Arabidopsis thaliana: one gene and its partner. The protein of the gene in region 2 interacts with the protein of the main gene of each other region in a pairwise test. Each region holds a gene or a part of one and is shown on either strand. Other genes may lie near its edges. The genes, in order: CRF1 and AHP4.

What was found.
Region 1: the proteins of AHP4 (region 2) and CRF1 interact in a protein complementation assay, tested with the Arabidopsis thaliana proteins (one study listed by BioGRID).

Annotation. Positions count from the first base shown.
Region 1 is NC_003075.7:6,794,508-6,798,438, forward strand, and holds CRF1 (cytokinin response factor 1), read right to left. Parts: upstream 1,892-3,931; 5' UTR 1,287-1,891; coding exon 423-1,286; 3' UTR 123-422; downstream 1-122.
Region 2 is NC_003074.8:5,552,328-5,556,258, reverse strand, and holds AHP4 (HPT phosphotransmitter 4), read right to left. Parts: upstream 2,063-3,931; 5' UTR 1,909-2,062; coding exon 1,864-1,908; intron 1,786-1,863; exon of another isoform or gene 1,776-1,785; coding exon of another isoform or gene 1,749-1,775; coding exon 1,618-1,748; intron 1,545-1,617; coding exon 1,476-1,544; intron 1,242-1,475; coding exon 1,170-1,241; intron 977-1,169; coding exon 904-976; coding exon of another isoform or gene 892-903; exon of another isoform or gene 866-891; intron 789-865; coding exon 741-788; 3' UTR 470-740; downstream 1-469. UniProt on the Arabidopsis thaliana protein: Functions as a two-component phosphorelay mediator between cytokinin sensor histidine kinases and response regulators (B-type ARRs). Plays an important role in propagating cytokinin signal transduction through the multistep His-to-Asp phosphorelay.

The DNA of each region.
Region 1 (3,931 bases), on a different chromosome or scaffold from region 2:
AAACATTTGCTCCAAAAGTAGAACAATTATGGTTTGCTAATATTGCTATTTGTCAAATAAACCCAATAAAAAGAAAGATTAACCAAAGCTTTTCACAAATTCGGTGATTCCTCGTCACGTGAGACAACACGTGATACGTCAAAAGACCAAAAGAAGAAAGAAAAGTAGTAAAGCGTGAAGAAACTCGTGCGTGTTTTGCCTCCACGCCGTTCATATACAGACGTTACTTAACGGCTAACGCCAAAAAGTTCACCATTTACCATTAGTTTTATTTAAAAATAAAATCACCATTAATTAAGTTACAAAAAAGTTTAATATATTTAACAAATCTTCATTCAAAAAATAAATCGCCGTTTTTTTTTAATCCTCGCCGTCGCCGGTAACAAAACTTCACTAAACGCCGTTAAACGGCCAGTTATTTCTTAAACAGTTAAGACAGGATCCGACCCGAATAAATCCCCAATATCTTGAAAATGGTCCTCAACGTGCCAGCTGGAGAATCCAGACCCAGACCCGAATCCAAACCCGGATCCAAAACTCATATCCGCAAAAAGATTATCTCCAAATAAATCGCCGCCGAAACTTTCACTCATCGACGTCGAGAAACCAAAAACGTCGTCGTCCGAGAACAACGGCGCCGAGAAATCTGAACCGTTAAAAGACGGCTCCTTTTTAACCACAATCTCCGCCGTCGATACACCGACAAACTCCTCTTTAACCGCAGTAGACTCGCCGGAGAACGGAGATTCGAGAACAGAAACCGGCGAACGAAGACATTCTCCACCGCCAATGATAAAATCCGAAACTCCTTTCACCTCCGTCGAAGCTTCTTCAACATTCTCCGTCACCGGAGGAGGAGGGAAGTTAAGCTCTGCGTTAGGACCACGTAGCTGAATAGCTGCGTTATCGTAAACAATGGCAGCTTCCTCCGCCGTGTCAAAAGTACCTAACCAAACCCTAACACGTCTACTCGGATCTCTAATCTCCGCCGCCCATTTTCCCCACGGTCTTTGCCTCACTCCACGAAACTTCCTCGTCGCCGTCGTAACAACCACTGGAACAGTAACAACGCGCTTCTTTCTCTTCTTCTTCATCGGCTTCTCTTTATCAGAAACCACCGAATCAAGCACCACTTCCTTCACGTACTTCTTAACACGACGTCGTTTTGTAGATAATGCATCAAAATCAACTTCTTCTTCTTCGTCGCTTGACGAATCTGTTGCGTAAGGATCAGTAACAGAGATTCGTAAGATTCTTGGGAGAGAAACTTTCTTCTCTGTCTCCATTTTTTAAATCTCTCTCTTTAAAACTGTTGTAATAGTTTTAACTTATGTGTGTTCTTCTTTGTGTCGTGTGTTTATATATAAAGACCAAAGTTAGGAAAAGTAAAGGGCAAAAAAGGAATAAAGAGAGAAAATTGGTAAAACAAGAGATTGATGCTTTGTAACAAGAAGATTTTCCCGGGAAAGTTGAAGAAAGCAGAGAGCTTTTTTAATATATGCTTATGGAATCAAGAGTTTGGTGAAGGAGGACACTAAAGAAGGAGATGCTTTTTTCTTATTTAGGGATGAAATTTCTTTTAAGAAATATTCCTGGGAATTTTTTTTTGCAGCGAAAAGAAAAAGTTTAGAGCAGAAGAAAAGAGTGACAAAAGATGAAGAAGAAGATAAAGAGAGAAGCAGAGCAAAACATGTAAGTGAAGAGAGTGACTCTGAATAGAACAGAGACTTTTATAGGATATTGAAACGGCGGTTGCGGCGTTTTACAATCCTTTTTTTTGTCATTAAGGGAAACAAAATTTGTATTTAATGACCTTGGAGGATGCGGTTTTAGTCTAACCTTTGACCTTAAGAATTTAAATAAATAGCAGTAATCAAGGGTGGTTAATAAATCTAATTAAATTCTTAAAACCTTTCTACGAAGAATCGCTCTTTTTCGTTCAACGACAGGGGTGTTTTGGTCATTTGCTAACTAAGTAAAAACAAATTAGACCGTTGCGGTGTGCAGGTTTTTTTTTTACTTTTTTACCTTTTTAGCAGTCTCTGGTCTTTTTCTACAGCAGGTTTCTGACGTGGCAGAGACGACAACATAGGATGTTACGTCAAAAAAAAACTAACTCCATTCGACTTGTGTGTCTTTTTAACGTTTTTTTGGAGTATTGATTAAATTTCTCTTGTTTTTGACATGAATATTAATTAAAATTTATTTTATTAAAGTATATTTTTGTCCTTTTTAACACTCTTTATAGAAAAACTCTCTTTTTCACTGCATATTTTCACGTGAGTGTTAAACCAGAGAAGAAACAAAGGCCTTTAATATATTGGTTCTTTTAACGTGGACCGTGTTTGGCTTTTTTCAAGATACGTTTTTCTACAAACAAAATATTAAAGTGTTGATTTGGCCAAAATTACAGAACACAGTAATATATGTGAAGTGAAATGGTAAACTCAAAAAAAAAAAAAAAAAAAAAAAAAAAAGAAATGGTAAACTCATTAAGCCACAATTATAACTTCCGAATCAAAATTATCAAGAAAATACAATCCGCAAAAAAAAATTCGTGATGTTATATACTTATATCTAATCACTTCATTTTTTTTAATCAAAACAACTAAGAAAGTAAAATAATATTTTATTAATTCTAGATTTAGAGAGATATTTTTTAAAAGAAAATAAACGCTATTATTCGGTGTTACTACAAACAAATGATACTTAATAGTGATACACATTTATTTATTTGTCTCATTTTTACTGGAAAGTAATTTGCTTTATAAGAATGAAGTATTTGCCTTATACCCTAAGGCCTAAGCAATATATGGATGTGATTAGTAACATATATGTTATGATTGATTTAATTTGAGGTATGGATGTTATATTCATAGTTAGCTTAAAAATATTGCTAAGTAAGAATTCATTTAAACTTTAGAGTTCGCGTTTTGTTGAGTATTAATGGTTGAGTTACAAGTTTTAGTTATCACTTCTGGAAACTTTATCTTACTATATAGTATTGTGTAAGAAAGCTCATCTTCTGTATACATTGGATGATATACTTATTCATGCTAAGCAAGAACTAAGAAAATAATTTACACAGCAAAAAATAATATTACAATTTATAACTATGTTGATAGCGGCAAAAGCTGAAATCTTTGTAATTCATCACCTTCACGGGGTACACACGACTCTACTAAAATAATTCATGTAAAATCTTGAGTCACCGATATCCACACGTGTCCCTTATGTTTAAATTTTAAAATGTGGATATTGCTTTTCCTAAATTTGGTTAGTATCTCTGACTAGTGACTATATAAACTTTTAGTTACTTATCTTAGCCGATTGGATAAATTTGGCTGACAAGTTTATAATAAAAAAAAAACCACTTCGTTTTAGTTTGTTATCTTGATGTTATTACATAGACAAATTGAGGTTTTGGCCTAAAATCATGTTAAAAAAGACATCAAATAAAACATCAAACCCCATTTTTGAAAACAAGTTAGCTACCCAATCATTTGAGAGTCCAATAAAAGTGGTAGTAATAGAAACTAGGTTTTCAAAGTTTCTTCGTGAGAATAAATAGCATATGATTAAAGGTAATGATGAGCCTTCTTCATGACACGAAAATAAAACAAAATAAGTAATGATGTGCCCTTGGTCCATGTAATATTATGATTATGACAAAATCATAGAGAAAGTTTTTTTAATAGCGGTAAATTACGATAATCGTAATAATGTATACTTAGGTTTTGAATAATGACTCAACCGCACATTACCGTGCGTTTTAAGTAGTAACAACTTTTTTTTAATATATATATATATATATTTTTTTTATTACTATTTAAACCACACCAGATTTTATCTGCAGTTGAACCGTACATTTTCATCGAAGCCTTAAAACATATTAGCTCACGTTATTGGGAGATGTAGCTATCGATATGGA
Region 2 (3,931 bases):
GGTGAGTTAGTTTTTTCATGAAATAGAAGGTCTATGTGATATTCTTAAACGACATCGTTTGAAAAATAGGGCATGTAAGAGAAATTAGATGGAAAAGTGTAATATTAATTGTTTATGATAATGTTATTATTTTAGACTTTTAGCTAAGAATAGTTTGCATCTAAGCCATGGCATTCTTTTTTTTTTAATAATTAGTTTTAGTAGAGACAAATAGTAACATAATGATAATGTTATTTTAGACTTTTACCTAAGAATATTTTGGTTTTTTTTTTCTTTTTTAAATATTTATTAATCAGTACTAGTAGAGACAAATATTAACATAATGATATAAAAATAGGTAAGAATATTTAGGATTTGGACACGGTTCCTGGAAACAAACCGAATAATGTAAAGCTTAGTTTCTTTTTTTTTTCCTTTTGTAAACAAGGTAATGCATTCATCATAGAATCGAAAAAATGCATTTTTTTGGTCCACTCTTTTCTGTATTCCGTTATTAGAGGAAGCCATATGTTACGAGGTAATCGTAGCTATAAAACTCCCAAGGGAAAATTTGGCGATATAAGGGGAAAAACATAGAGACATTTGGACCGTTTATTAACGGACATAATATAAAAGTCCAAAACCTTCTTTATAACGTACATCGAAATATATAAAAATAAAGAGGAACTATTTATTATATAGTTTTGCTACAAAATTCGACGACGATTCCTCATTTATCTCTGTCTCTCTCTCTTTCTCTCTTACTTGGGCCTACGTGCTGTCTCCTTAGGCCCCGCCTGCCTTGCCAACTGTTCATTACAAAAAATTTCACTTCAGCAAATACTATATCAAAAGTGATTGATGATAACTTCTAATCACATTCTAATTATGTAAATTATTAAGCATAATTGATTATTGGCTCGCCTGGAAATAATGTTCAAGCTTCTTTCTCAACGTTGAGTGTTCTTTCTTCAGTTGCTGGAAAGTCCTCAAGCATCTGCAAGTAAGAAAAAGCGAAGAAAACTAATTAGGGGGTCGAAAATGAAGTAAAGTAAAAGTTCAAGGTTCAGCGGATTAATTGCAGCAATTTTAGCCATCTAAACTATACTTATTTTCATTTTGACCCCGTTACTTAGTTTTCTGTTAAAAACGAGAAGCATGAAGGTATATAAGTATAAAGACGAAAGTACCCTTCCGCATTTCCAGCTCTGCAGTATTCCCTAAACGTAGTGCATTCAGCTTTCACTTTACTTGCCCCAATGCTACAAAAAAAAGAAATGCAACATTTGTCAGTATAACTAACGATCATAAAATCTAATTATTTCTGGTTAAAGTAGATTCTGTCATTGAATCCTGAATGAGAATGGAAGTAATTTTAATGTACTTTTGCGTTACATTCTTTTATCTTATAAACATTTAAGTATTCGCATTTCTTTAAGTAAAATTATTTCTTGAAGGCGTAATTAGAATAGTCAAAAACTAAGGGGGGAAATTACCTCGTGCTGCTTCCCTTAAACTGATGCATGTAACTATCCAGCCGATTGAAATCAAATGATCCTCTTTCCCTGCATTGTAAAAATGATTAGAAAACTGAAAAAAAAAAAATATATATATAATAGAAAACAAAATAATACTCACAAAGCTTGGTCAATGTTATTGATTAACCGAGCTGAATCTTTGAAGTATAATGCGGAAACTTCTTCAACAAAATTAGGGTTTGCATCATCTTGGAGCTCTTCTAACTCCATGAATTGTTCGTCGAGATATCCCTGCATGCATTTTCCTATATTAGTCATTTTCTAAATTATATGAAGAAATTCATATATAAGTGGTACGACGTACGAAGTTATATTACGAAAATACGAAGAAACAAACGACCAAAACCTGATCAAAGAGGGACTGCTTGATGAGTGCCACTTGCCTCTGCATGTTTGTTTAAATTTTGAGAATAGATTTAACTATAAGTGCGAAAAATCAAAGTGATAATTCGTTTTTATCTTAGGTAATTCGAGTGGCAATGCAATACTGAAACGTTGGACATCTGAGATATATATAGTGAAATATAGAATAAATAAATAGATCGTATTACATCAAAAAAGAGAAAGTAGAAAAGAGAAGAGAATATTTGTAAAATGATGGGAACCTGCAACGTAAGGGCATGAATGCTGTATTCTACTCCAGACATAAAAAGAAAACGTGTATTCGTTATTATCAGCTTATTTCGATGACACATAGATGTATACTCAGTATAATTTTCTATAACTTCTCTATAAAATATATGTATAACACAAATGGTAGGTGTTATCAAATGATCATATATGTGTGTTGATATATAAGTTTGAATGTATAGTAATCTTTTATATATATAAGATAGTGTTTATGTTAAAGTTTTGAATAAGAGATTTCAATTAGAGAATTCCTCAATGTTGATTGTTTAATTAATAGTATGGTCCATTATGAAACTTAAACTACTGTGGATGATTGATCTATTGCCCAAAAATATAACTGAAATGCATCTTAATTAATAAGTAATCAAAGGATCTCACGAATGGGAATACGACTAATATTATATATATACGTACATCATAGAAACATGTAAAATTTCGAATATAGAACCTAAAAGCTAAACGTTGATACTATACGAAACACACCTTTGGAAATGAGGCAAATATATACTAGTAAAATGTATGTGGACACGAATTTTCCTGAAAGTGAAAAAGAAAGTTATAGATTGAAAAAGTATACAGTTCAAGAAAAATATTCTGAACAGACCATTTCCGTCTTGATTAATTACTGAATTTAATTCATGTTTTCACAAAGTTTTCTATAATATCATTGTCTTTTCTTTTTTCTTTTTTTTTTTGTTATTTTTAAGGTTGTGATTTCCTGATTTTAATGGTACCAATTACGTACACCCACAACATTCAACTATATATGTACATATGAATTTACGAAATGGGCAAAAAAAAGTTGTACTTTTGGAAGAAAAAATTGTTGGAATCTAGCACACTAGCAAACACTATTATTGCTTATCTTTTGTTTCAACAACAGAAAGCAATACTAATTCGAAGTATTTTAGTTTGGGGTCCGGAATTCAATTACTAAGTAAGGATTATATCTTGTGATAAACATTAAACGACATTTTTATATTAAAAACATAGTCAAGGTTAGTATCATGATCAAGACCAGAAATAAATAGATTTCTATTGGGGTTTTCTGTTTGATGTGTTTTCTTTCTCTTTGACCGCTGCAACAAACATTGAAAAATTAGATGCAAATCTTTTCCAAGTTTCTTCCATTAATGTGTGGAGGTGAGAGGGTGTTGTGTGCCAAGGAAAGGCTAGTACTTGTGCGGATGCGTGTGTTTCCTACTTCTATATTGTAACAAAAAAAGAAAGAAGTAGGAAACCAAAAAGAGAGAGAGAGAGAATAAGGTATACATATATCCAACGAGTAAAAAATAAACCATAAATTTCTGTTATTGGAAACAAGGAACAAGTATCTAAAAAGGAAAAACTGAAGAGCACATAACAAGTGTGATCTAAATGATTGACACAAAGACATAAAAGATCTTTTTATCATTACAGCATAATTTGTTCCTTTCTATATCTCTTTCTCTCTCAGACAAGCATCGTGAGATCGAATTACAGAAGAGAGAGAGATTGATCATATACAAAAAAAAATCAGCTTTATTTATTCCTCCGCCCACCAAACCAATCTCACATAAAGGACTTGTCTACTACATATTTTCGGTGGAAGTGGGTTTAGAATCTAAGTTTTATTATTGCTTGCTGTCTCATCTCGATTATTCTCCTTAATTCCGACCTCCCCTCTAATAACAAATATGTAATACCACAAAATTAGAAGAAACAAAACAATTCATTCCAAAACTTGTGAGGTTGGTTTTACATGATAAACCCCAATTTTGTATTTAAATCAAATGTTATTATGT